Oryzias latipes: one gene and its partners. The protein of the gene in region 3 binds, or shares a complex with, the protein of the main gene of each other region. Links are inferred from orthologs where the notes say so. Each region holds a gene or a part of one and is shown on either strand. Other genes may lie near its edges.

Region 1 (3,936 bases), on a different chromosome or scaffold from region 3:
GCTGGTATACAAACTGGAGACCAGGTTTTTTATGTAACTAGAGATGATAACAGTAAAGTGAGTTTTCAGAGAAAACCCCTGGATGTTTCCTCAATCAGTCAGCACTAAGGTGGCATACATTGCCTTGTACAGATCTGCGGTCAGGGCTGCACTGTGACAAAGTGGTTAGCGCTTTACTCTAAATCTGTGCATGCGTGGGTTTTCTCCAGGAGATCCGGCTTCCTCCCACCATCCAAAAACATGCGAGTGGCCGGGTAAGGCTCTGACAGCCCCATGACCCCGAAAGGGACAAAACGGGTTTACAAAATGGATAGATTTGCCATCAGTGTTTATGCCCAGACAATTCAGAGAGCAGAGACCTTGAGGTGAAAACTTGCAATCCCTTTATCTTCGTGGTTTCCGACCAAACTCTTCCCTTTAAGACAACTTACTGCCTCTCTTAGATTTCTACATAATTTGGGAGAGGAAATGAAACAGCAATCTTCTTTCATCCAATTCACCAAACGAAAGTCATAAAAGAAAATGAATTAATTTCAAAGGTAATGTGGTTGACAGAAAGAGTTCGGTAAATTTTTAACCTCTGCTGTGCTGTTCACTTCTTGCAAATAAAGAATGACCTTGTGCCTTTTGGGATATTTATTTGTACAAATATGTGGTTGAAAATGAAAATTGTCATTCGTGTCATTTTAAACTACGATGAAGCCAACCTGTCGCAATAAAGCATTAACTTCCCGGTACCAAAGAAATATAATTACTAATTTTATTTATGTAAAAATTAGCTCAAAGTTGTTGTTTTTTAATAATCGAGCGAACAAAAAATCTAAGTTGACAACAAGACAAGTCAGCAATGAATTTGGTTAGCTTATAATTTCGTCCTCTTACGGTTTGTACCGTCAGTTCAAAGACAAAAGCTCAGACATGAACAGTATAGGCGTTTGTCGTGGTAGAACGATAAGGAAAATCACGCAAAAAGTATCTTAAGTCTTGAAAAAAGGATGAAAATATTACCTTTCGTGTGGTTAGCTGAACTCAGATTGTTGTACTTCCGGTGCATTGTCGCTGACAACGTCTTCATCAGCCAATCACAGCAGGAGATGGATGTTTAAACCAATCACACAGCTCATACTCACCGGAAACACTTCATCCTGATTTCTTCGTTGGTGCTACGCTTTTCTCGTTTCCCATGAAGGCGCAAATAGTCATTCGGTAAACCGTAGTCACAAACAAACTTATTTTTGTCGATTATTTGCAATTATTTCGGGATGATTGAACCAAAGAAAAGAGCGGGAGACATGGCGGTAATTCCCACCGCTGTGAAGCGAGCCCGGAACGAGCTGGTGGCGGCGGCACAGTCCCAGCAACTCGTGGCTACGGTACGAAAAGAATCAACGTTCACACAAAAAAACTCAAATTAGAGAAAATATATACACACGGGTGTTGACCCGCATTTGTATTATGCATGCTTTAAATGATGTAATCTAAAATTTACTCAAACACGACATTTTTTGTGGTGCACCTATTATTTCTTGACGTAGAGAACACATGACAACGAATAACAACACGAGTTTTCGCTAGGATATTTAATTTTTGGATGTAATGTTGCTTCTTTAAAATACGTATTATATTCGAAATCCCGTTGTTATCAACAAACTGATGGTAAAGGAACCTTTCCCAGTTATGGGTGTTTCCGGGGTGAACCGTGAACAGGTTACAAATCCTAGGCTAATGTTATGATAGAAAATTAAAAAATGTTATTTTTTTTATTAAGCATGAGTTTTGTGTATTTAAACCTTTTCCAGTTTGTAGATGTTTTTCTGTAAGTAGATATTTTGATTATTGAGACAAAACTATAGGATATTTAACAGGATAGATACTAAATCTTTTTTTTCTATTGTAAAAAATAAATAGCTTTTAAACACTGGGGTTTCATTTTAGCAATCATCTTTTGATGTTGCAAAAATCTGCATGACATATCACCTGCAACAGTCACATTCACAGTCACCCATGCACACACACATTCACACACTGATGGCGGTTTCGCTCTCTTACTGGCGCCAAACTATAACCACCAGAAGCAATGTGGGGTTCAGTGTCCTGCCCAAGGACATTTCCACACATGGGTGGGCAAGGCGGGAACCTAACCTGCGATATTCATGATCAGGTGGACCGCTCTGCCTCTGCACCACAAGCCCCTGCATGGAAAGTGTGCCACCATAGGGTGCAGAGGCAGAGCGGTCCACCTGATCACAAATATCGCAGGTTAGGTTCCCGCCTTGCCCACCCATTTGTGGAACCTAACCTGCGATATTTGTGATCAGGTGGACCGCTCTGCCTCTGCACCACAAGCCCCTGCATGGAAAGTGTGCCACCATAGGGTGGCAAGATCCTTTGTGTCACATGATCAATTTGATCCTTTACAAATGATCCATTTCCTCACTGGTCTGCTGCAGATTTGCATTAAACTTTGTGGACTTTACTCTGAAGCGTTCTGTGGCACATTAAGCCCAAACGCACTTTTATTTATCTGTCTTTTATCACATGCCTGTTTTCTTTTTAGATTTCACTTGGACTAAATCTGGAAGAAAAAAACAGAAAGTAAATTAAACTGACCTTTCTCCTCCAGGGTCCTCCTCGGACCTCCAGCCTGCAAGCTCCCATCATGCTGATGTCGGGCCACGAGGGCGAGGTGTACTGCTGCAAATTTCATCCAAATGGAGCCACGCTGGCGTCTTCTGGCTTCGACCGACTCATATGTAAGCAAAAAGAGGCAAGCTGCCGTTCTCCCGGCCTTCTTCTGTTGCTTTGTTCCTCACTTACTTCCTTTACCTCAGTTCTGTGGAACGTTTTTGGGGAGTGTGAAAATTACGCCACCCTGAAGGGCCACAGTGGAGCTGTGATGGAGCTGCATTACAACACAGATGGCAGGTAGGAAGAAAGCTGTAGATTTTATCTTTAAACTTCACCTTTAAATTGACATTTTTCTTGTTTTAGGTTATGTTTACAGTGAAAGTAAAGCTCATATTCTCATTGTTTCTTAGTCTTAGTTTGATTTCAAAAACTAAGGAACTTTATGGAACAAAAAAAATGTTCATCTGTAAATTTTAGGACTTGGAACTATCTACATTTCTTAAATAACCTTTCCATAAAATTTGACTGGATCATTTTTGTGCCTCCAGCTTGTTATTTTCGGCAAGCACAGACAAGACCGTGGGCATTTGGGACAGTGAAACAGGGGAGAGGATTAAGCGCCTGAAAGGTCACACTTCCTTTGTTAACACCTGCTACCCAGCTCGCCGGGGGCCACAACTGGTCTGCACCGGCAGCGATGATGGGACGATAAAGGTGTGACATTTTTATTTTAGGTGCAGTTATTTATTCTGAATGCTTCAACTGTTGAGGTCCCATTCAAAGTTTTTAAATGTTGCTTTATTGTATTTTTGTTAATCGTCACTGCAGTTGTGGGACATCCGTAAAAAGGCGGCAATTCACACCTTCCAGAACACCTACCAAGTTTTGGCCGTGACGTTTAATGACACCAGCGACCAAATCCTGTCTGGAGGCATCGACAATGACATCAAGGTATTTGGATTGTTCTAAAAAAAACAACAACCAGCAGAGTGTCCTTGGTTTTGTTTTGTAAGATTAACAGGAAGTCTGAAATCTCAGCTGCTACGTGGCTCTACTGTAGATGGCAAGAAAAAAGTTTGACATTTTATAAAAACTCAGTGTTTAAGGTAAAAACTTTCTGACATTTTGAAAGAAAAAAGAAATCAGTGATTTAGTTGTTTTCAATCCGTTTTAAATAACACATTTTATTAGTCTGCCATAAAGCTTAAATCAACGTTTTATCATGTGTTTGCCTTCATTTAAATGCACCAAATAATCTGATTCTACTTAGATAAAGACTAACATGTGAAAAAAAAAATTTCGGTTTCA
Region 2 (4,198 bases), on a different chromosome or scaffold from region 3:
TGCTGTGTGAAAACAAAGAGCAGACCAGTTAAATTGAAGGACATTGCATGCAGACAACCAGCACTGGCTCTAAAATAGACTCCTTACATTGGAATAAAAGAGAAAATTACACATCAAATAAATGAATTCAGAAATTCAACAGATTTACTATAAACTAGGAGTGAATTTCTGACTCACATGGCTTCTTCTTTGTGCCTCCAAGAGCGCCATGCATGGCGTTTAGGAACCATGTCATGAAGTCCACAGCATCACCTGCAAACCAGAAAACATTGAGCAAACTCTACAAACTTATCCAGTGAGTTAAAGATTGTGGGGCAAAAAAGTATTTGGCAGCCACTGACTCTGCAAGTTGTCCCGCTCAAAAAGCTGAGTTTGGTCTGTAATGTTTACCATAGATATACTTCAACTGAGAGATAAAATGTCCAATAAATTATCCAGGAAATCACATTGTCAGATTTTTAGAGAATGTATTTGTATAATAGTGCAGAAAATAAGAATTTGGTCAACAACAAAAGTTCACCTCAATAGTTTGTAATGTAACCATGATTATCTATGACAAAGGTCAAACATAGGTCTTAAGCAGGTTTACAAACACTATAGCTATTATTCTGGACCATTCTTCCATGCAGAGCTGTAATGTTTTGAGGCTTTTGCTGAGAAACATACTTTAAACTCCCTCCACAGATTCTCTTTGATGCCAGAGTTATGTTTTTGGGATCAGTCATGTTGGAAGATCCAGCCATGTTTCATCTTTAGTGCTCTCATTGATGGAATGAGGTTTTTGCCCAAAATCTCAGCCTACATGGCCCTATTTATGTCAGCACTCCACAGGCCACAAAATAGTTACCTTGTTTGGTGATTTGGAAGTTTTTCTTGCTGCACAGGACTACAGCCTGCAGCATCTCGTGGGGCGACACGTGGGCCTTGAAGTTTCTCGGATTCCAAAGTTTGCGCATCAGCTCCCCAAACCGCTGCACCAGCAGAAACATGATGTCCCCTGGTGGCCTCCGGATGTCTCTGTAGTTCTCCTCCTCAAGGAAGTAGTTTCGCAAAGGTGGGACGTTGGAAAAAGCCTAAAAACAAAAGTACAATATGAAACCCCCTGTTATTTAAGTTGATGCCACAGCCTCAAAAATCAACATCAGCGGGGTTTCATACCTGTAGTACAGCATTGGCATAGTCGTTGGCTTTAATGTTATTAAGCCCTACAATCCCTGGCAGGTAGGTTGTACCATCGTAGGCTCTGTACAGTTTACCATGTTTGTCCAGACCCTCAATGTGCTGCTTGGTGAAAGTCGGCTTCAGCACATACTAAAGAAAAAAAGAGCAAGATTACCAACACAAAGCAAGAGCTTACAAAAAATAAAAAAAGGAGGGGTAAAAATTACTTAACATAAAACATTAAAAATTTAAAAAAGAAATGTAAAAAAAAAAGACGTATTAAAATTACAGCCAAAACTCTAAAAAGTATACTTTAAGACATTGCTAAATAACTTATTTTTAGATACTAGTACTGATACTTATGTGCAAAATATAGTAAATAAAATATACTATGCAATCAAATACATTGGCCTTGTATAAAATATATAAATATCGAACACATTTTTATGTACTCTGGGTTCACAAGTTAAAACTATTTTTAAACACAGAATATGTTAATGAAAACTATTGAAGTGTTACACTGACAAACAAGGAATGTGAGCAAAAGAATCTATCAATCATATCTAGAAGAAAAACAAAAAACTTTGTTTAATTTTAACATGTAACTGTTTACTTTTCCCCCCAGAGCAATTACCTTTTCATTTATACATTGAAAAACAGCAGATTTACTGCATTACTTACTGTGATGTCTTCTAGCGATGAGTCAATGATCTCATAGTTGTCTGGCAGACAGTAAAACTTGAGTGTGTGCAAGTTGAGGAACACATGGTGAGAAAACTGGACACTGTGAGTGTAGGCATGAGACTTCTGACCTCTGCCTGCAACAAGGAATGCAAACGTAAAGATGTTTAGTGTCATCTAAAAAGGAAAATAACAATGTGCGTTTGATGTGCTAATATGTCTACCTTGAAAGTATTTCCCACAAATAAGACAGGCATAAACATTAATGTGAGACAGAGAAATGGAGCAGAGCTTCTCAAAGTCAAAATCCAGAACACTCCTGCAAGACGAGAAGAAACTGAATTACAAGAAGAATGCTAACTAGCTTTAGCATACATTTTCAAACATTTCCTTGCCTGTTTATGGTGTCCAGGTAAGGACAATGGCGGCTTCTTCGGTCTTCAACCACACGTCCTCGCCTAAATTTGACTGTCACTGCAAAAGAGAGCAAATCACGATAAAGCTCAGTAGACGTAAACGGAATTCATTTTTACGAGAACAACTAACTACTAGCAATCAAAACATGCTTGCTAGCAAGCTAAGATTTTTCTATTAATCGATCTCTGTTTTAAAATAAACAGGTTTTACATATATTTTTATATGCTGATTGTCTTTGTCTTACATGTGAAACCATCAGTTTATTGGTGTAGAATGGAACTGACACAATATAAACTTTTTATGCTAGAAAATGCTCTTCTGGCTGGCTAACAAAACGAAAAACGGACGTAAGAGACAAATCAGCATACCTTCGTCTTCGTTATCCTCGTCGTCTTCTATTTCCTCCCTTTCACGCTTTAAAGACATTCTTGTAACTATAAGTTAGCAAACGGTTTGCTAACGAAACAAAAATTAACAAAACTTGAAGGTTTACGAGAGGAAATGAATGGATATTATTCAGCTCCTCGAAACTCGCGGTGGTTGTACGTCGGTGGTAATGGCGTGGGAAACCAAAACGTAACCCGGAGTTTAAAAAATAAATGTTTACCCCCATGTAAACTCTAAGTAATATATTTTATTTATTTGTATACTTCAGTTTCTTTTTTTGTCACAGAAATATAACCAAAATAGTTTATATTTTAGTTCAATGTGCATTGTAGGACTTACACGCAATAAATTAATTTGTAGAAACTCCGGGAACGCTACGGTTGGACATCCATTTATACATCGTTAGCTGTCTAGCTTTTTGTTAGTATTTTGCTTGTTCTTCTTTAGCTGTGTTTTCTTTCTAGAGTGTTTGCTGAAATGGATCTTATAAGAGATGAAGGAGTGCATGAGCTGAAGTACAAACCGGGGGGCCGTCTGGACATGAGCCACGGTTTCCTTCATCATATTCGGAGGAACCAGATTGCCAGGTGATTTCCTTTTTGCTGTTAGCCGAGTTAGCATACTTACTTGGGATGTCAAATGTCAATCTGTAGCTGCTGTCATTTCATGATTGATGTGAAATGATTTTTTTAAAAATGGCAGACAGTGAAATAACATTTTTTTAAAGTACCTAAAAGGCTTAAAGTCAAGTTTATTTTTACTTTAAAGCAGTAGAAGCAAAACCCTATTGGACTGACTGAAATTTTAAAAGGAGCATTAAGTTATTCGGTTTATGTTTTATTAGTGTAATTTATTATTTAAAAGTGGATTATTATATAAACTTAGGTTTGGTGTGTAAAACTTTTAAAGTTCCTCCTTGATAAATTACATACGCTGAGTTGGGCTGTTTTACAGCATCTGCTCTCTGTCTGGTCTTAAAAAAAGCTGCTACAATAATGTATGATAAGTATTTTGATTTACGTCCAAACAAAAAAGTTTGTTTTAATTCCCACACTCTCACTCTTTATTTAATCATTTAAAACGGATTTTTAACATGTTGATTTTATTTAGGCAACTTTGAAAGATGAACTATAAAGCTAAAAGAACAGCAATAATAATGTTGCTTTGTTGTGCGGCTCTTTAAATTGCTTTGATGTATGAAAAACAAAGCTGTTTTGCCTTAAAATAATAAAATTTTAAAAAAAGTATTATCCTCCAATGTGTAAACAGACCTAGGAACATTTTTAAGTTCATGGCCATGACCAAGATGCTCTGTGTTTTATTCAACTGTGCAACTTGCTATGTTTTTAAGAAATAATCAGAAAATATTTCAATTTCTTTATAAGAGATGACTATGATAAAGAAGTGAAGCAAGCCAAAGAGCTTCAGCGGCACAGGCGCACCACAACCCCCAAAAAGCCTCGGCGACCTGACATCCAGGTGTACCATCCTCGACGGAGACGTAAGACTGACATATTTCTTACTTTGCTGCTTTTAGAGGAAATGTAACACT
Region 3 (4,272 bases):
TACTCATAGTATACTTTACACTGAAAAAAGGGACTTTGTGAAAAAAACCTAAATAAAAAGAAAAACACTGGCTCTGATATCTTACCACCACTTTGTTTTTATTTTAGAAATGATTTTTAGAGTTTCAAGATTGCTGATCTTCATGACCTAGCAAAAGCGGAAGTTCTTTGTCCAAAAACGGATCGCCATATTTCATATATAAAACAGTCAAACTTAGTGTGTTAGATATTACTTTAAACTTTCCTTGATGTTTTTATTCATAGACATTCCAGTGAGAACATCAAAAACAATAAAGTAGTGGTTTTGATTGCCTCATCACTGAACTTACTCCAAATGTTGTCCGTATAAACTTTGTAACTACTTAAACTTCTTTTATACACAACAAATACTTAATCTTAGCATTTCTATTTTTCTTGTCTGATAGGTTTTCACAAATACATTGTCACAATCAGAAAGTGTAAAATATCATGCGCTTTGACCTCAACTGAATCCAACAATGTTTGCAGTTCTTTGCATGTTCTGCTTGTTCCACGGTCTTCTGTGTGGCATTCATTCTTGGCGTTGTTTTGCTGGCTGATGAAGTTTTCTACTGTTCCAAATTTTAATTTGTCTTGATTTTAGTGCAGCTAATGATGATTAATCAAATGCTTTGCTCTGCCCTTTGTGAGTTGTGTATCTCTGACACAGTTTAGGACTTGTTTAAATCCAAACTATGTGAATAAATGTTAAAAGCATCCCAGCAAAAGAATGCATCCAGCTCTAACTGGATTTCTCCTGGTGGCCTTCTCAGCTTATTAAACATAAGTGAGCTCGATCAATTGCTCACTTGTTTTTTTTTTCTCACTGTTTAATTGCTGAAGCCATAGAACATCCAGTTAGGTTGTAACATTGTCCGTCTAACAGGTTTATTCTGCAGATTCAAGCCTTTACAGATTGTCCAAAGGTACTAAATGTTTCTTCAGCTGAAACAGGCATGTGACTTGACATTTCAGGTCTCAATAATAACTTCCTCTGACTGCCTTATTCTAAGTCCTAACATTTGCCTATAAACAACCCTTACTAATTATTGCTCTCTTTGCCAATGAATAGCAACTGGTGCAACATGCAGCAAAAACGTAATATGCTAAACTCTTCAGTTCTGGGATAAAAAATTGTGAATTGATCCAACCGGTGTTGACATAAAAAAAAGTAGTTTTGAACTTTTTATTTTATTTTACAGGACTTAAATTAGAATGTAATGTCTTGACATGTGTCCTGCTTTAGAAAAAAGCCGGTTAAGAGTTTAATGGTTTGAAAACAGTAAACAGTTCTATTATTATTATTATTATTATTATTATTATTATTATTATTATTATTATTATTATTATTATTATTATTATTATTATTATTATTATTATTATTATTATTATTATTATTAACAGATTTTCTAAATTTAGCGCGTTTGCTACTTAATGCGATTTCGATATTTTTGACAACGGCCGGCTACCATAGACTGCACGTATATGATTGGGTAGTTCGCGGGTGTCGTTGAAAACAGTCGTTTGCTAGACGTAATAGCAGGTGAGTGGAATGTAAACCAAGCCATTTACCTCTGCTTGTAAAGCAAACATGCGTTTAGCCTATTTACATTGCAGATACAATTGTTTAGAAAATCTTAAAGAACCTCCGGCATTATCTCTACAGACATTAGACAGTTAACCCCGTCAGTAGCCAGATGGTTAGCTACGCTAGCAGTAGCAGCTAACGTCTCCCGCTTGCTCAGTGATTTAATTTGTTCATTGATGCTTATTTCTGTAGTTCAGCACGTGGTTGGAAAAAATGAGAGTTGGGCTTTTTATGTGGTATTTTAGCGGAAATAAAACATCGTTTTTTATGTATTAAATCCACGCTATTAAACATAAAACTAATCATGGAGGACGATGGCGATGCTAGCACAAGAAACTAAAAGGCTAATATACAAAAACCTTTATTTTTCAGATCAAGCAAGATGAGTATGAGAAAACAAACGCCGAGTGACTTCCTTAAGCAGATAATTGGTAGACCAGTGGTGGTCAAACTAAACTCTGGTGTGGATTACAGAGGTAAAACACCTGGCGTGCCAGGCTCAGCCGCACGGTTCTCCTTTATTGTTATTTCTAAATGTCTGTTAAGGAATGAGACTTTAACCAAAACTTTGTTCCTGTTTGCTATAACTTATGCAGGTGTTCTGGCCTGTCTGGATGGTTACATGAACATCGCCATTGAACAGACAGAAGAGTATGTTAATGGACAGCTCAAGAACAAGTATGGGGATGCCTTTCTGAGAGGAAACAATGGTAAGAGGTTACATTTTTACAATAAAAATACTGATTAAGCCTTCTGCACATAATGACGTTAGTCAAGGGGGTATGCCTTTAGATTATATGTTTTAACTTTACACTGAATAGTAGGTATGCATAGTCAGTTAAATAACCCAAAATCATTGGTTAATGATATTTGACCTATTCATCATAGTTTTAATTTATTTTTAAATACAGCGATGTATGTCTGAAACATGCAAATATGGTGAAAATATTTACATTGCATAAGGCATGCCTAAGAACTCATTTAAAGAAATTGGAATTATTGGTCAAGTTTAGGTGACTATGGTAGAGAGATGTGGTTTGGAGTTGTTTCTTTGCAGAAATGATTAGGTAAAAGTAGCCTAATCAAATAGATTTAATGCATGTCTTAAACCAGGGGTCGGCAACCTTTACCACTCAAAGAGTCATTTGGAGCCGTTTCCCACAGAAATGAAAGCACAGGGAACCGCAACACAAGGGGTGTTAGAAATAAAGCGTTTTGCTTTTGAAATGTCGCAATAGTTCATTTGACAATACTTGTATTGATTCAAAATGCTGTCAGGATATTTATTTAATTATTTATTTTAATTATTTATGAGCCTTATGTTTCCTTTGATCTTTTGTCCATTTTACACAACCTTGATCTTGTGCCCCTACGAGATTACCGCTGACTGTCTTTATAGAAGAACTTTCCATCCCATACCAGACTCTGGTCAGTATTCACATGTGCAGACACGCCCCCTCCGCGTGCTCACGCTGCGCTCTTCCTCCTGACCGCTCGCGCTACCCGACGGTGTTAAAGGCTCTACAACAATCTTAGAACATGATAGGTATTTTACAAAAATACAGACAGTCGCAGCACAGGGATGAAAGCGGCTCCGGAGCCGCAGGTTGCCTACCCATGTCTTAAACCAACAAAAAACTATTTGGGGAGTATTAGAAAAAAGTTGACAATTTTGCTAATAGGAACGTTTCAAAGTGATAGAAATGAATCTTAACAATTTTAAGTGCATGATTGATTTATATTGGTTTAACCAAATGGACAGTAATGACACAAATTTTTAAAGGTTTAAGGCAGTACGAAGCAGGATGATCTATAGGTGTGACACAAAAACGATCAGATGCAGATTGTTTAGGAGGCAAACGAATAGAATGGGCTGGCTAAAATATCTTTAACCTCTTAAGACCTGATGTCCACATGTGCGAACATCACATATTACCACAGTTGTTAATTTTGCTTAACTGGGGCCCTGTGACTATGTGTAGAGGGTTATCTCAAATATTAGCTCGGGTCTTAAAAGGTAAAACTATCACCTTCCCAGTTTATCTGAGTTTTTTCTTTTGCATATGGAAAATATATTAAAAAAAAGACTTTGGATACATCTGTAAATGGCATTTCTAAAACTGCAGTAAATAATTTCACTTTACCTTTAAAAATGTAAATTCTTTCACTAACTTATACCATCTGCTGTGAGATTTCATCTTTAGGTACACAAAATCTGTGTTTGGGGAATATTTGAAATTTGTTTGAAATGTTAACCACTAATGGAGAGCTAGCCTAGCATATTCTGACACAACACAATCAAGGAAACCTTACATAATGATGTAAGCTTTCTCTTTTTTGTCCTTTTATTTTCTAAAGAAACACACTTTATTCCTATGTGTGGACAACACAAAAATCCAAAAAAATTATATAAGGGCAATACCAATGTTACTACTTCATCTGCAGAGACAGCCTAAGCACTAGAGGTGTGTATTGGCAAGAGTCTGACGATACGATGCGTATCCTTATATAGTACCGGAGCACATTTTCTTTCTTTTTTAAAAAGAAAATGACTTAGAAAAATATCTGACTTAATTTCAATATGTCTTTCATTGTAAAAAAATGGTCAAATTCCATTTAATGATCACAATGTTGAGCACTGCAACTGTATCTCATATACAAGTTGCT
Region 4 (3,110 bases), on a different chromosome or scaffold from region 3:
AAAGTATAAAAAATAAATAGATACATATATAAATATATACTGCAACTTCCAGCTTTTTCTGCCACAATTGACACAAAAATGGATGTGAGATTGTGGAAGGCTGGGCATGCTTTTACATTTCAACATGTTGACGAGCCTTTTCTGCTCTCTCCCATAAATACTCCTGTGGAGAAAATATGTCTGTCCGTTATCCCAGAAGAAACATTATTTCAAATTAACATTGCATCTCTACCTCAGAGCATGTCTTATTGGAATATGTTTGCTGATGATATTGCATGGAAGGAGGTTTGGCAAACCCCTAATAAACGCTTGATCACCAATTAAGTAAAATAAGCTACTTTTAGGATTATCCACAGAATTTACCCAGATACAATTTTCATTCAAAAAAGATTAGATGAAACATTGATACATCTGTAGTTTTTGCTGCAATTCCCCTGAAACAGACATCCATCTTTTCTGGAATTGTCCTCAAGTTAAAGTGCTTTGGTAGAAGATTTGTGATTTCATACATGACAAAATTGATTCTTGTTTTGTTTTATTCTGGAAACATGTTTTGTTGGATCTTATATCAAAGGATACACAAAAGGACTCTGGTTGGCTTTTAAATCTCTTGCTCATGTTGGCCAAACAAAAAAAAAACAGTTACAACTTTTTTTAAATTGGTGGGTTTTTATATTATGTTCAGACCCCATTTTCTTTGTCTTTCACTTTTTTTTTAACTTTATTGACAATTGAGGTATCATACATTAAATAACGAACAATAACCATGTAATCAACATTACCTTGAAGATCAATCACCATTGCCAAACATAACATATTAACAAAAAAATAAAGAATAGAGAAAAACAAAAAAACAATGAACATAACACACAAATAAATAAAAACGAATAAGTAAAATAAAAATAAAATAAAAGAACATAGATCCAATCTAAATAGTCTAATACTAGTTAGGGGTACTCGTGAAGTTTGTATTTCTGAACAAAACAAAGCAATTTCAAGTCATTCTTCTTTTTCATATAATGAAGTGATTTGAAGTAAAAAACAGAGCTCTTTATGAAATGTTATAAAAAGTGTTTTGGTCTTCAAATATTTATTTTTGTGTATATAAAACTTTCCTTGCAACATCTGGATATTAAGAACACCAAATAGAAATTTTTCTGCGTGTAAATGAACTGGCATTGCAATTTTGGAAGAATACCAAAAGCAGAATTCCTCCCAGAATGTTTTTATAACTCCTTTGTCTTACACCTAAACAAACGTTGCTGTTCAAATAAATACTCCACGTTCGATTGCTTTTGCCTGCTGGACTGCGCTCATTTGTCGATTGGTCGGGCCTGTGCGGAAGCGTGTTCGTCAGTAAACATGGCAGCCACCCAGGGCACGAACCCGTCCCAGCTGCTCCCACTCGGTCCGTAAGCTTTAAATTAAGCCCGTTTTCTATCCGGGGTCTGACGGGGATTCACGCAAAACTCCGGGAAGTGTTCATGCGGGGGTCAGAGCCGGGGCCGCTGCGTGGTTTGAACGGTCTGACAATGGCGGGCAGGAGTTAGCAGCTAATTGTTCGTTAGCATCGAAACGCTCATGCTGTTAAAACTACGTTAAAGAATGACACTTTTTAAGTCTTTGGGTGTTTGTCTGATTGTAATATATTTAATTCATCGATTAATATGGTCCTGCCGTAAAGGGTTCGTAGTTGACGCGCTTTTTGAATTGCATAGCAATGCTGCAGCTAGCCGCTCCTTGCGACCGTGTTGCTAATTAGCCCAAAAGGAAACGTTTTCACCTCGTCATTCATTATCATTAATATTATTAGGATGTACTACTCTTAAGAGATGGTTTTCCTTATGTTGGATGCCTTGCGTAAACTTTATTTTAAACAAAAAGTTAAGTTACAGACACCTGTTAAAATATAAAATCAGTGTGGTTTGTAGACTGCATGCATGAAACTGAAATAACTGTTCTTCTTTCTTCAGAGCTTGTGGACAAATGCATCGGCTCTCGAATTCACATCGTCATGAAAACAGACAAAGAAATCGTCGGAACCTTGTTAGGTTTTGATGATTTTGTCAGTATCCTTCATCGATATTTTGGTATCAGTGTTGTGCTGTTTCCCTGTTTGGCCCACAGCCGCTCCTTAACTCTGTGTCAGACATGGTGCTGGAGGATGTGACAGAATTGTAAGTATCTTGTTTTCTTTTTTTTTGTGTACTTGGGGCTTGCTGTTGATGTGTTTTTGTTTTTCCAGTGAAATCACACCGGAAGGCAGGAGGATAACAAAGCTGGATCAGATCCTCCTGAATGGAAACAACATCACCATGGTGAGAAAGCAGTCGGTGGGAAGGATGGGGGGGGTGTCGCTGACCGGATCTCTCATCAGAATGGTTCTCTTTGCAGCTCATCCCAGGTGGAGAAGGCCCAGACGTGTAGATGTCAAGTTTTCTAAATGTACATACATCTTTGGTTGTTCTGGATTGATGTTAGTTTGCGGATTTCTCTTACTGGACATTTTGTTTTTAATATTTTTTAGTTTTGATTCTTTAAGGTTTGAATGAATCACGTCAAGGACAGAAAAGCTCTTTTTGTTATAAATAAACCAGATGATTAAACACAGTTTGATTTACAAGTTTATTATTCATAGGTTCACTTTAGTGCAATTTTCTTTCCTGTTTTTAAAAAGTGTTGGCATCCAACAGCAGTAATAACAGCTCACGGTTCATGAAGTCTAAATCTAAAGTTGCGCTCCTCCAAAACGGCGTACCGCTGCCGCCTCAGTACATGGAGGATTTCTCCTCTCCTTTTGGGTTGGTCACCTTTTCCAGGTTTTTGTTGATGATGTCGTACAGCTCGGCCTGAGGAAGTGAGAAGCTTGTTTGAATGAAAAGGTAATACACTTTAGCTATAAAACACCCCTAAAAACACATTTTCTTATATAAAACTAGGAATTTAACCTTTTTTTTGGTTAAAACCTTAAATACTTTCATTAAAATCCTACATCTGAGTGGAGGAAGATTTAAAAAGAACTTGTTTTAATCCAAGTAACTTCTTTTTTTTGTAAACCAAACAATTTATGCTACAAGAATCTCCAACTAAAAGTGAGCAAAAGTGTCTGG
Region 5 (4,242 bases), on a different chromosome or scaffold from region 3:
TACCCAAAAAGATGTGTCACAGTTTCTGAATGATCTCCACAGAAACAATCAGTATTAATATCTTTTTCAAATTTTGTCAAGTATTGTTTTGCAGGGTAAATTTTATGGAGAATTTAAAAAGACACTTCTTTCACCTTATTTATTGTTAAATGTTTATGAGGGATCCTCCACACCACTTTCCAGTTGTTACCTGGAACAAATTGATTACAATAATTTAAAATATACTATGTCACTTATTTATCAGTGTTTTTAAACAGCATTAATGTTCCTGATGGTAGGGCATTCTGCACCATTAACCCTTGTGCTATCTTAGATGACCCCACCCTTGCATTGACGTGTTCTCCCTACCATGACAAAGATGGATAAAGGTGGAAAGATTTCATGTAATCCATGGACACCAGTGAGGTTCACAAATCATTGAAGAAAAAAGGTTCAGCGCACTGTCTAGTGGGTCTAGATGACCCAACTCCCAATGTTAAAGTGCCTAGGATAGCACAAGGTTTATGGACTCTTGTAGACTGACAGGAAAATTATATAGCGATAAGGACACATTGTAGTTTAGCAGCTGCCCCTCCTTATTGAATAGCCGAGCCACCAGCAGGGTCCTATTCTGTGTCCAGGTCTCCAGGTGGAGTGATCTTTTTTTAAATGAAAAAAATCTGTTAATCCAGATGAAATATTTGTGTGGTGAAAAAGGATACTTGAAAATTAGGTTCCACACTAAGAGGACCTGCTAATGGAAAGATGAGAGTTTTACTGGGAGTTTCACAACATTATTGTTACAATTCAAAATAAAATTAAAGCCTCCAAAACTAGAGAAAAAAATCTGTAAATGGTATAATGTTCCAGATAGCAGTGGGGTTCTTAAGAAAAATTTTGGCCCTATTAATTTTAACATTATACTGCAGATAACATCTACTGAGCAGTCCTTAATTGCAAATAATTCACATTACTTTTAGTTTAAGTTTAAAGGGTGGGGTTATGAATGCTTTTGTTCTTCCCACTCATTTTCAAGCAATAAATCAAGAAGCTCTATTTGACATTAATGAATACTATATTTATTTAAGCAAATGTGACAAAAGCGAGTCTTTGTTTTAATCTATGTCTTTCATCATTTCTGTAATTAGTTTGTCAATCTGTGTGATTTAAAAAAAAAGTATTGACTACAGTTAATGCTTGAAATAAAAATAAATCAAATAAAATCAAATTACTTCCTCAAGCGTGAGAAGGCTCCCACAATAACTAATTTCCTCTTCATCAATAGTTCTGAGGTTTTGGATATTATTAAGTAACAAAGAAGAACTGTCCTCATAGTGTCCATTGTTTTTACAGTCCATGGTAAAAAGCGCATAGCACTGATTTTCATTCTTTCTTTCCTTCTTTTTGTATTCATTCAATAAAGTTTGAAGGAAAAAAGCGCAAGTATTTCGCTGACTCCGGCGAGCCACCGTAGACTCTTACTGCGCATGTGCGTGGTTTTCAAATGAGTGGCGTGTGAATTCAACATTGCTATTATTTAAAGTTAATAAGTTGTATGTATAAAATATCACTATGTCTGTTCAACCTACAAACCCAAACAATCCAATCGTTTTCTTCGACATCACCATCGGCGGTCAGGTAAGTGAGCTTAAAAGAAAAGTTGAATAAATGGCTAAAATTTGTTAGCTAAGGCTTAAGGGTAACTTGAAAATCGACTCAAATATATAGTTATTCTTTACAGAGAAAGAATAATATCATGTAAACTGCGCGTGATACGGTTTGCGTCTGTTTATTAGATGCATCCTTATAAATAAAAGTAGTTTTTGTGTGGTGAATCATCATGTGTCTCTGTCTGAATTTCACCGTCGTATTAACAAATTAAAGTCCGGTTTAGACACTCTTTTAACAAACGACGTTTTATTTTTTTTATATTTTTAAAAGCTTAAAGTAATGTTTATACAGCATTCCATTAGATCCAACAAAGACTACACAACATGTTTGGTTTTACTTTTGCTTATTTTCTAGCTTGTTTAATTCTCTACTTAACTTAGTCTGTGAGAGTCTTTCCGTCTGTACTTTGATATCGCAAAGCTTTTTTTCCCCTAGATCCATTGTGTTTTTTTTGTTTTTGTTTTTTTAACTTAATTCAGGTGAATCAAGTAATCAGGGAGTACAACACACATTTCCAAAGTTTAATATAATACTAACGATGCCCTTTCTTGCTTGCTATCTATCAATCTGTCTTTTAAATATGGCAAATGGCGTATACTTATATAGCGCTTAGCTACCTTCTTCAAGGCCCAAAGCACTTTACAGTCGCAGACCCAGTCACACACACATTCACACACCGATGGCGGCTCCGCTGCCGAACACTGGCGCCAACCTCCCACCAGAGGCCAGGTGGGGTTCAATGTCTTGCCCAAGGACACTTTGACTCATGGGTGTGCAAGGCGGGAATCAAACCTGCAATATTACAATCATGGGTCGACCGCCCTAACGCTGCACCATGCCCGCCGTAGATAGGTACCTTGTATTTAATTTACTGCTCTGGAGTGGGGTTGTATATCTTTCCGTCTCAAATGAATTGATGCGCATCTCGATACATGGTCTATGAATTGATACATAAAATATTCAACTAACTTTCCGGTACAGTCCAATTTCTTTTAATCTAAAAGGATGACAAATGACTAAATGGAAAACAATCTAGATATTTATTATTCATTTGGCATATAACATAAGGGCTGCACGATGGCACAGTGGTTAGCGCTCTCGCGGCGAGAAGACCTAGCTGGGAACTCTCTGTGTGGAGTTTGCATGTTCTCCCCGTGCATCCCTTCCTCCCACAGTCCAAAAACACGCTTCATAGATACATTGATGACCTTCAGCTTACTGTAATTAACCTGACTTGGTAGAAATAAGCTTGTGACTGGACGTTCCGATAGAGTAAAGCACAAAAAGAAGAGAAATTGACAGAGATAAACCGATTATTCCTGATCAATTTTATACCTCTATTTTAACATGATCTTGTTTGTATCTGTGATTCTCAACTGATATGGCTGTTACACTCATAACTTGATTAATTTCTTTTATACATTTCTGTATCCTTTACGTCCACAAACATGTTCTTTTTTTTAAGACATTTAAAAACTCTGAAAAACTTACGTGCTTCCTTTTTATAAGGCACGTTGATCTTACAGACTTCCAAGAACTCTCAGGTCCCAAAGGTATTTTCTTTTAACTGTCCCAAATGAAAGCAGCATAGCAAACAATGAGGCCTCATTTGCAGTTGTTGTTGATTTTATCGGCAAAAACAGCCTCCCCCAAGACATTCTGCCTCCGCAGAAATCATTATGGACAGGTTGGACTGACCTTTTTTACTTGTGTTTTTGTGCCTTGCTTCATCAATTTGGTGTCTCCTGCCTTATGTTTTTATTTTCCCCTTCAACGCGTCCTTGCTCCAGAGAATGATGATAGTTTCAGTAGATGTGTTTTTGTGGCTGCTTCTTTAATATGTGTCTAAATTGAGCTGTGACGGTGTGGGATTTTTGATCACCGCGGTGATGAACCAGCAGGGGGCGCTGCGTTCTTTTTTTTTTCATCCTCTGTTATTTAATAGGTTCCGATGAGAACCATTTCCCCGAGAGGCCACAAAACTAGCAAATATGTTGTAATTAACTAGCAGTTAATCTGCTTCTCCAATAGATTTTTGTCAACAAACAACTTATTTTCTCATCTGGATCTGGATGTTTTTAGACAAAAGCTGCATGTTTATACTGGAATGTCTTGCCACATTTGAGACTTTGTTGTTTGCTAATTCCTCATTACATATTAATAATTCATTCATCATGAGGAACTTCAATTTTCTCAAAATTCTCCATTGTTGTCCCAGAACATTGTTGGGAGTCGTGGCGGTGACGCAGGTGTGTAATCCAAACTTTAATCAGAAACCTAATACTCAGCCCGTTAGTTTTTTTTGTTTTTTTTTTTTATATTATTTTTATGAACCTTGCTGACTGCTTGCTGACCGTAGTCGTTAGCACAGGGTAACCGCTACAGGGACGAGCAGCTCGCCTGGTTCCGACCCGTTCCTGGTTCAGACCTGGTGACAAAAATACAACAGCTGGTCGACAGACGACCCGGAGAGGTTCTGCATGATGAGGCTTTTATTCACTTCTCATTCAACCTCATTCAACATGAAGAACTTTCCATCCTATAAGAGACTCTGGTCTGTCGCAGACACGCCCCCTCCGCGTCTTCACGCTG
Region 6 (4,067 bases), on a different chromosome or scaffold from region 3:
TCTTTCACTAAAACATTACATCTGTGATAAATTCAACATTTGTCACAATTATGCAGATTAATTGATTGTACTGCAGTTTAAGATATTACAAAATACTTCAAAGTAAACTAATTGGACAAAAATGAACTGAGTAGGGCTGTCCAAATAATTGTATTTCTCCATTTAGTTAGTTCTTTGTTAGACAAAAGTATTTCTATATCAAAGATGTTTAAAACAACAATTACATTGCAGCATATTTTTAAAAGAACTCTGGCAAAAGAGCAGTTTTTGAGAATTATAAAATTCCTTAAATAGTTTTGAAGCCATTGACTATATTTATAATACAAACAGAGGTTTTGATGAATTTACAGGCAATTCTATCAAATACTAATAACCATAAGTGACTGACCTCCTTCCTCCTCTCTTCTTTCTCTGTCCGTCCAGCGGGGCTGGCAGTGGTTTGACCTGCTTCACTGGTGGAGGTTCCTGCCATTTATCAAACTTTCTCTCTATTTCTTCTTTTAGGTCATAGCCAACCTGCATTACAAAGGGAGTTGAATAACAGAGACAGAAATTATATTTCTGAATGTTCCTTTAATTTGAGATGTTTACCTTTCCATCTGGACTCTCGTGGAAACTGTCTACTCGAGAAGCCAGAGTGCATTTCGCGGCCACCAGACGAGCTGCCTTCCTCCTAAGGTCCTGAGGGGGGAGAACAAAAGGGGAAAGGAGATAACTAAGGCAAACAAACATTAGATGTGGAAAAGGTACTTGTTATTCTTGAATATGGTGTACTGACAGGAGGCAATGACTGCACAACATCACAGTGGTAGATGTAGCCCGTGTGAGGAAGCAGCGATGTGCTACTGAAGCCTGACAGAGTTTTCCTTTGGGCTCCCAGCAGCATCAAGTTGCAGGCTGGCATCTTTGAGAGGTTTGTTAGGCCTCCAGCAATGCCTTCAGCCAAACAGGGAAAAAAATTCAAAAGTAAGAAAAAAAAATGTATGGGCATAAAAAAACTTGATATTTTCTAGATAGTTTCACTTCCTCACCCATGATCTTTGCTGCAGTCGATGCTCCCACAATGATTGACAGGTTTGGAGCTATAAAGGACATTCTGGACTCTACATATTCATATATCCTGTGTTTTGACTGGTTGAGCTCCAGAGCCATGTCACAAGCCTCCTCAAGCTGCTTCAGCTCATCTTCCGTTAGCAATGACCTTAAGAGGAAAACAATAAAATATATAAAGGGAGTGTCTATGTAAATAAAATAAACAACAGACATAATAATGGAAATGTTAAAAAAAAAAGTTTATTGTAATAGGACACAAGTACCAACATTCTTAAACTTACCCCTGTGTAGTTGATGCAGTGACACTGACGACCATAATGGTGGCATTGGTTAGAATTTGCTGCAGGGTTTCATTGTTTTTACATTTCTCCAGGTTGTTTCCCAATTCCTTTATACGAAGCACACATTTACAACAAAAAAAGGGGGAAGATTTAGAGGTTAGATGCAAAAAGAAAAAAACAAACCTATGCAGAATAATGGAAACCATTCAGCAAATCTTTTCTTTTAATAGAAGAAAAACAAAATCAAAAATTTGATATCCGGTAACTTCAACGTCTCCAAACTTATCTTTTAAGATCAACAAACCTTGACTGTGCGAATGTAATCTAAAGAATCTGGAACCAAAGACTCAAGCTCTGGAAATCTCTTGGAGTATTTGTCCCTTGTAAACTTGTGAATGATGTCTGAAAAGACAGGAGAAACACAGACCTCACACTTTCAGTTGAAAGAATCCAATTTCTTCATTAGGTTTTGTCGCACAATAAAAGTCCAACTCACTAAGCTCATTGTCAATTTCAACTGTAAGATTGTTGGCTGCAACAATCAGCCTGTATTCTGGGTCAGCCTCAACTGGTCCTGAAACTGAAAGAAAATACAGGTAAACAGGAGAAAAAGAAATGGAAGTAAATCAGTAACATTTTCTGTTAAAATGCACATTTTTTCAACACTCACCATCTGAATTCTTGCGCTGTTTTCCAATATATCCAGATATTTTTTCAATTATATCTGAAAACTGAAAACAAGCAGTTAAAAGGGACTGCCTTCAGGTAGTGAAAAAAAGGAACTCTTTATGAGAGTCAGCTAAACAAAGACCTGTTTGCTATTGCGGAGCTTGGCGATAGACGTAATGCTGTCAGTTTTACTGTAGTCCACCTCCATCTCTTCGGGGATATCTTCCAGTCTTTCTGTCCTCCCTGAAGCCCCCTCTCCATCACTCCCTCCTTCCTCCCCCTCTGGGTACAGCCCATCTTCCCCCTCATCTCCAGCTTCCTCCAGGTCAGCCAGAAGCTCGTCAGCCAATGACATCTGCAATCAGAGTAAAATTCATGATCCATCTTCTAACAATGCATCTTTCAGCTTAAACGAGAGTAAAAGTGTGGGCAGTTGTTAAATTTGTGTTTATTGCAATTATTTTCAAAAGGAAGTAGATCTAACGAAAGTCTATCAGTGTTATTTTTTATAAACATCCCGTTGAAAAAAACAAAAACTGATATCAGTCTGCTATTCTGTGTTAGCTAGCTAAAGTTAGCAAACGTTCACCAAACGTCATTCAACACTGAAAAATAGTAACTTACGTCGCACTTTCAAAATGAAGTAAAACAAAACAAAAATATATTTATATTTTTTTAAAAGTCACTTTAGACAGGAAGGGTTCTAATAGAAGCCAATATAGGTAATGCTACTTGTGCGGCTTCTTGCTCCTGTTTACAACATAAAGCTCACGATCCGGGTGGTTTGTCGCAGAATAAATACGTCACGATTTCCGCATGGGATTATGGGTAAGTATCCCCTTTCCTTAAGAGATGAGAAAATAACATACGGGCTTCTTTCTAAAAATGAATGTTCGGTCTTTATGAGTTTACTTGGTTGCTTTAATTACCTTCTCTTAAAAAATGTGTAGTAGGTCGCAACTAAATACATATTTATTCGAATAAGGAGTTACATTTCAGGCCACAAAATAAAAACACAGGTTTTTTTCTAGTATTCCGAAAATGACTTTACTATAACTCTTCTTTTATTTGTAGTTCTTAAAATATTGTTTTAAAAATATTTTTCTATTCTTAATTTATTTTATATTATTTATTAGACCCTTAAAAGCTACCTGTACATAATAGGAAGAGAAGTTAAAAAAACAACAACAAATAACTAAATAAATGACTAGTAAGTTTCTGTGACAAACTGTTAAAAAAAACGTATTCAAAAGTGATGGGACAAAGTAAGAACTTAAAAACTTTACATTTTATATTTAAATTGCGTTTTAAAATATTTACACACAAAATATAATACATACATGGCAGCAAAGTACCAGTCTTGCATTCAGGAAACTAGAGTTTGGTTAACTTTTTTTTTTTTTTTTTTTTACAACAATTTTAATAAATTATGATACTTCACCATAGCACACAAAAACTTTATAGAAATAAGACAATTACCTTTACAATCAAAATTTCATTCACAAAACAATGGGCCACAAATTCTTTATCAATGGACGTTTATGCTTTGACCAATTGTGGTTTCCCACTTTATTAGACTTATATTTATTAACTGTTCTATTTTATACATTTTATTCTGTAACTGACTTCTGCTTTCAGTAGAACATATTTAAATATTACTTCTAATTGACACAATATAGGGACTCAGAAAGGACCCTGCCCTTGCAACAAATTGGTGAGGTATTTGAACGAATGAACAATGACTGGGACATGACCCGTATTGGATAAGAGGCTCACATTTTGTAGTTTTTATTGTACATCCTCCCCTTTGAAACCCAGTTTTTAAACAATACAATTTTAAACCAACATTTAAACAGACTAAACAAATGGACTAGTTGGACCTCAGCTGCATGATTGATGGCTATTAGTAGAAAATGAAATAAATTAACAAATACACAAGCAAATGGTCTTATTTACTGATGAGCAACTGTTCTGTCATGCTAAGCTACATAAACGGTCATTAAACAAGATAAAGAATGACAAGACTGCTAATAATATAAACATGAAAATAAGGAAACATTACAA
Region 7 (4,282 bases), on a different chromosome or scaffold from region 3:
CTTCCTGTTCTTCAGAGCCATCTTCTCACCAATTACCCATTTGCCCTGAGCTGCTGAGCAAGCAGAAAAACAGTGTTAGTCCACCTGAAATTCTCACTGATTCTCAGTGAAGAGCAGTATAAACAGGAAACAGTGTGAACTGAGCGTGGAGCCTGTTTGCGGTGCTGTCTGAGCTTGTTGCAGGATCTCTTCCATCACAAAGCCATGATGTAGCTGAGGGTGGAATGGGCAGTACCACTGCTCTGATCTGCCTCCCCTCCCACTGACAAATCCAGTATGAAGAACTGGATCGTCCTGAGAAGAGAGGAGGCGCACACCTGTAACCCTACAAACACAACGCGGAGAATAGCAGCCTCACAGGACCAGAGGCTGTGTATGACATCACAAACAGAACGTCTGCAACCCATTTAGTTACATTAACCAGTCTAAACTAGTGATGTTCAATAAATATAGTTTTTTCCCCAAAATAAAATAATGACGCAATAAATCACAACCGCTGCATCATTTTATCTTTACTTAAATAGCATTTTGCTTTTTATTTTCCAACACTTGGTTGGTATCCTGTATACAAGAAATTGTTATTTTTAATAAAAAAAATAATAATTGAAAAGCAATTTATTTCGTTTTTCTGCTTTTTAAGTCCACCTATTATAATTTTAGACTGTTATTAAAACGATTTCTTATCTTTAAATGCAAGACTTTGAAAAGAGTAATCAATGAACATAAAATAGCCTTTTTTGGTCTGTTAGTTTCAATTAATAAATCGATTAATTATTTAGTGTAATCATTAAAAATAAATATTTGAATAAACTGCAGATTACATTTTAGGAATATATTCTCTCTTAAAAGAATTTTAACGGTTTTCTCACTAACGGAAAGCTTCATTATGTGTAACTATTTACATTTCATTTCTCGTTTACATTAACATTTCGCATACGGAATATTTCTAAACAGACCCGTTAGACACTGAATTCCCAATAACAGCTTTACTACCACTCAAAACGCTCTGGAATATTAGTGTAGACAGGACAAATACCTCAAAATGAACAGATATTTATGAATTAATTTACCTTCTCGCTGCTCTGCGCGGATGACACGACAGTGTCCTGTGAGGACAGAAAGCTCTGGAAAACGCTAAAGGACGGTACTGGATAACGTTGCCAGGTTTGAACATACACGCAACGCGTCGAGAGAAAGGTGAATTTCTTTTCTTTATAGTTTAGTCTTTTCAGTTGTTTCAATTTAAAAGTGGCAGGGATGCAACAAGGAGATGTTTGTGTTGTATTTAAATTTTAGGTAAGGACTATGTATGGATTTACACATACTTTAAATTTAGTCTTTTAAGGATGGATGTTGATACCATAAGTTTTAATAATAAACATTTCACATTCTCAAAGTACGCATAGATATATATTGTAAACTAATTATTTGTATAAAATTCAACTTTGTTGAACTGGAAATCGAGGGATAATTCGAAACGCACGTGTGTGTTGCCGTTTGAAATCTTAATTTCACCGGACCTGGCAACCTGCGTACCGGAATCGACGCGCGCATGCTCGAACAGTATGGCGGACGAAGCTGAGCAGGTTAGCGGTTCTTTCGCTAATTATATGTTTAACCTTACAACGAACGAACAGAAGCCCACTTTGCTTCTAAAAGTGCAGACTGCGCTGCACGCTGCATTATTTTTAAAGTGCTTTAAGGTTATTACAGGAACGTTTTTGACCTGTTTGGGGCCGTGGAAGCGGCTAACCGAGTTAGCCGAATTATTAGCCTTGGTGTTCCTGTGTTTCAATTGAACGCAAATGTTTGGTTTGAAACACAGTTCATTGCTTTAGTGCTAACCAGGCAGCTAAATAGTTTATACAGGAAGGAAAGTTTGTGTAAAATGTGTGGGGAAAACAACAGCTGTAGCTCCAGCCGTCGAGGGCATGCATTCTGCTGTGTTCATTAAACGGCCTTCTTCTGATTCTGGTTACCTCAGGTGTGTTTTGCTAATCAACAGCAGGCAGACTAGGACACCTGCCCTCGAGGACTGAAACTTTACATTTGAGGTTTCTACTCTCTGAAACGCTTGGCGTTTCTGGCTGCCGGCCGCTCTGGGAGGGGGGGGGGCGCCTACCGCGGCCGGCTGGGGGGCCGGTCGCTCGGGGGAGCCTTCTCCCCCGGTTGTGCCCATCCGCCCGCTCCTCCCCGCTCTCACCCAAACAAATATTGCACACAGGCACATAGGGCCCCGGGATCTGGATGGGAGGGGTATGCTGGCGGGGCTCACTGGGGATGCCCCTCTCTGGGTTCTCGTTGGCACCCGCCCTCCTCCCCGCTTTTTACTTGCATATTAGACACTCTGATTCATCTAGGGCCTTGTGGAGAGGGTCTGGTGGAGGGGGGCACGGTGAAACATCCGTGCTCACCTTTCGCTGGCCCCCCCACAATTTTAACTTCCTCTGTAGACACACACACTGCATGCTAGCAGCACACACACAGCAAATACACACCACTCACAGAGGGACTCCGGAGTGGGGGGCTTTGCGGCTTGGCAGCGGTGGAGCCCCCCACACTGGTGACCTCCTATTTTACCTGCAGCACACACACAGCACTCCCACACCTCCATACATGGGTGGGGTCGGGGGGGGGGGGCGGCCGGTCTTCACCCGCCTGGTCCTCTCAGGGCGGCCAGGCTTATGGGTGTCCTGTCGGCTGCGGGAGGGGTCGGGCATGCGGCGCTGGGGGTTGGCCGGCTGGGGGGGGGGGGGGGGGGGGGGGGTTACTGCTTGGCGGCGGGGGTAGGGAGGGTAACCAGATGATTGTGAGTATGTGTGTGTGAGTGCATGGGTAGGACCGACCTGGGGGCTGGCTCGCTGGGACCCTCTGGGGCTTTCCCTCCCAATCACAGAGAGGGGAGGGCACTGAGAGGGTTGGGGAGGGGGGGTCAGATATTATGGCGGGGGGGGGGTTGTAGTGCGTCGGGTTTTAGGGGGGTGGCTGTGGCTGCGGGTGCGTGGCGATCCCTGGGTTGCTAGGGTCGCGTGCCTGGGCTGGCTTGCGGGGACGGGGCGCTGGTCGGGTGGTGGCCGGCTCATGGGTTCCGGGGCCCTGGCTTCGTCCCTGGCCTTTGTCTCGGTGTCCGGCGCCCGGTGGCCCCCATGGCTGCCGCCTGGTACGGCTAAGCGCTCCTGTCTTGTGGCCTGGGGGCCGGACACTGGGTTCGCTTGTGCCTCTGGGCATTGGGGGGGCCCCTGTAGGGGGGCCCTCTCTGTGCCTGGCTGGTGGGGTGGGCGGTCCCCTCCTCCTCCCCTCCCGGGCTGCCTGGGTCCGGATGCTGGGGGGGCTTCTGGCCTGGGGGGCTCTCCTCCCCTCTCCTGGTCTGGCTGGTCTGGCTGGGTAGGATCTGGCTCCCTTTATGAACACACGGTTCACGTCGGCAGCATGCATGTATCTCCACCCCCACGTGCACGTGCACACTGCCACACTGCTCCCTGTCTGCTTCATCCCTCCTCCTTACCTACAGTGTATTGATGGACAGTTTTTTTTCCGCTCATCTTAGTGTCAGATTTTGACCTTTGATGTAACATTCGTCTTTCCAGCAGATCTGGTATAATTGTTACAGCTTAAATTAATAACTTAGTCAAATCAGTGCTTGTATCCCCCACCTTTTCACCTTTCTTCCTTTTACTCTCTTCCACCCTCCCCTCACATTCTTCCCCTCTCCCTCCCCACACACACTAAATGTAACAAATAAATAAAAAATAATACGACAAAAAGGGGTTTATACAAATCTACACTCTAGTTTCTTGAAGCTATATAACCTCTTTTTGTGATAGTAAAACCTGTCCAACACAAAAAGCCTTCAGCTCTAATCTGTTTGCTCAGAAGTTGGACAGAACAAGTTAGAAAAAAAAAAAAAAAAAAAAAAGATTAGTAAGCAAACTGACTTTCATTCTAATCACAAGGTTTAGAATTTTTAGTCACCAAAATGTTTTTTTTTTGTCTTTTATTTTTATTTTTAATGCTATACTCTTAATTTAACAGTTCAAACACATTCACACAGGTTACCCAAACGCCAATACATGTAATCTGCCTTCACTTGTTTTGCTGAAACCCATGAGATTAGTAATGCTTTTATATTAAACATATATAAATGTCACAAAACAGTCGTTTTTGGTGTCTTAAATGTAGGTTGGATGTTTCAACATTTTATTTTGATTGCTGAATTAAAAACTGTGAATCACAAGTTGATTTCTGTGTTGTCAAATTGTGTTGAGATGGGAAAAAAAGTAGT

What was found.
Region 1: lsm6 (region 3) and snrnp40 share a complex: the UniProt entries of both Homo sapiens proteins name them as parts of the U4/U6-U5 tri-snRNP complex. The link is inferred for Oryzias latipes from reciprocal best matches to the Homo sapiens genes LSM6 and SNRNP40.
Region 2: lsm6 (region 3) and usp39 share a complex: the UniProt entries of both Homo sapiens proteins name them as parts of the U4/U6-U5 tri-snRNP complex. The link is inferred for Oryzias latipes from reciprocal best matches to the Homo sapiens genes LSM6 and USP39.
Region 4: lsm6 (region 3) and lsm5 share a complex: the UniProt entries of both Homo sapiens proteins name them as parts of the precatalytic spliceosome. The link is inferred for Oryzias latipes from reciprocal best matches to the Homo sapiens genes LSM6 and LSM5.
Region 5: lsm6 (region 3) and ppih share a complex: the UniProt entries of both Homo sapiens proteins name them as parts of the U4/U6-U5 tri-snRNP complex. The link is inferred for Oryzias latipes from reciprocal best matches to the Homo sapiens genes LSM6 and PPIH.
Region 6: lsm6 (region 3) and prpf31 share a complex: the UniProt entries of both Homo sapiens proteins name them as parts of the U4/U6-U5 tri-snRNP complex. The link is inferred for Oryzias latipes from reciprocal best matches to the Homo sapiens genes LSM6 and PRPF31.
Region 7: lsm6 (region 3) and lsm3 share a complex: the UniProt entries of both Homo sapiens proteins name them as parts of the precatalytic spliceosome. The link is inferred for Oryzias latipes from reciprocal best matches to the Homo sapiens genes LSM6 and LSM3.

Annotation. Positions count from the first base shown.
Region 1 is NC_019869.2:21,982,921-21,986,856, reverse strand, and holds the start of snrnp40 (U5 small nuclear ribonucleoprotein 40 kDa protein), read left to right. Parts: upstream 1-1,136; 5' UTR 1,137-1,262; coding exon 1,263-1,373; intron 1,374-2,623; coding exon 2,624-2,753; intron 2,754-2,831; coding exon 2,832-2,925; intron 2,926-3,176; coding exon 3,177-3,342; intron 3,343-3,456; coding exon 3,457-3,579; intron 3,580-3,936. UniProt on the Homo sapiens protein: Required for pre-mRNA splicing as component of the activated spliceosome. Component of the U5 small nuclear ribonucleoprotein (snRNP) complex and the U4/U6-U5 tri-snRNP complex, building blocks of the spliceosome.
Region 2 is NC_019867.2:12,332,828-12,337,025, reverse strand, and holds the start of usp39 (U4/U6.U5 tri-snRNP-associated protein 2), read right to left. Parts: upstream 2,801-4,198; 5' UTR 2,686-2,800; coding exon 2,628-2,685; intron 2,317-2,627; coding exon 2,238-2,316; intron 2,162-2,237; coding exon 2,067-2,161; intron 1,980-2,066; coding exon 1,843-1,979; intron 1,312-1,842; coding exon 1,159-1,311; intron 1,074-1,158; coding exon 848-1,073; intron 253-847; coding exon 178-252; intron 3-177; coding exon 1-2. Other genes in the region: c9h2orf68 (UPF0561 protein C2orf68 homolog), read left to right, coding at 3,124-3,233, 4,032-4,147.
Region 3 is NC_019859.2:18,489,126-18,493,397, forward strand, and holds the start of lsm6 (U6 snRNA-associated Sm-like protein LSm6), read left to right. Parts: upstream 1-1,472; 5' UTR 1,473-1,560; intron 1,561-1,977; 5' UTR 1,978-1,987; coding exon 1,988-2,081; intron 2,082-2,201; coding exon 2,202-2,315; intron 2,316-4,272. UniProt on the Homo sapiens protein: Plays a role in pre-mRNA splicing as component of the U4/U6-U5 tri-snRNP complex that is involved in spliceosome assembly, and as component of the precatalytic spliceosome (spliceosome B complex).
Region 4 is NC_019878.2:23,647,139-23,650,248, reverse strand, and holds lsm5 (U6 snRNA-associated Sm-like protein LSm5), read left to right. Parts: upstream 1-1,289; 5' UTR 1,290-1,362; coding exon 1,363-1,408; intron 1,409-1,469; exon of another isoform or gene 1,470-1,484; coding exon of another isoform or gene 1,485-1,524; intron 1,525-1,973; coding exon 1,974-2,069; intron 2,070-2,149; coding exon 2,150-2,177; intron 2,178-2,245; coding exon 2,246-2,318; intron 2,319-2,394; coding exon 2,395-2,427; 3' UTR 2,428-2,610; downstream 2,611-3,110. Other genes in the region: psme2 (proteasome activator complex subunit 2), read right to left, coding at 2,769-2,849. UniProt on the Homo sapiens protein: Plays a role in pre-mRNA splicing as component of the U4/U6-U5 tri-snRNP complex that is involved in spliceosome assembly, and as component of the precatalytic spliceosome (spliceosome B complex).
Region 5 is NC_019865.2:7,776,072-7,780,313, forward strand, and holds the start of ppih (peptidyl-prolyl cis-trans isomerase H), read left to right. Parts: upstream 1-1,442; 5' UTR 1,443-1,551; coding exon 1,552-1,617; intron 1,618-4,242. UniProt on the Homo sapiens protein: PPIase that catalyzes the cis-trans isomerization of proline imidic peptide bonds in oligopeptides and may therefore assist protein folding. Participates in pre-mRNA splicing.
Region 6 is NC_019874.2:19,364,284-19,368,350, forward strand, and holds the start of prpf31 (U4/U6 small nuclear ribonucleoprotein Prp31), read right to left. Parts: upstream 2,801-4,067; 5' UTR 2,628-2,800; intron 2,359-2,627; coding exon 2,146-2,358; intron 2,066-2,145; coding exon 2,005-2,065; intron 1,915-2,004; coding exon 1,831-1,914; intron 1,737-1,830; coding exon 1,639-1,736; intron 1,442-1,638; coding exon 1,335-1,441; intron 1,202-1,334; coding exon 1,032-1,201; intron 937-1,031; coding exon 779-936; intron 682-778; coding exon 592-681; intron 517-591; coding exon 389-516; intron 1-388. UniProt on the Homo sapiens protein: Involved in pre-mRNA splicing as component of the spliceosome. Required for the assembly of the U4/U5/U6 tri-snRNP complex, one of the building blocks of the spliceosome.
Region 7 is NC_019863.2:18,333,438-18,337,719, forward strand, and holds the start of lsm3 (U6 snRNA-associated Sm-like protein LSm3), read left to right. Parts: upstream 1-1,482; 5' UTR 1,483-1,565; coding exon 1,566-1,586; intron 1,587-4,282. UniProt on the Homo sapiens protein: Plays a role in pre-mRNA splicing as component of the U4/U6-U5 tri-snRNP complex that is involved in spliceosome assembly, and as component of the precatalytic spliceosome (spliceosome B complex).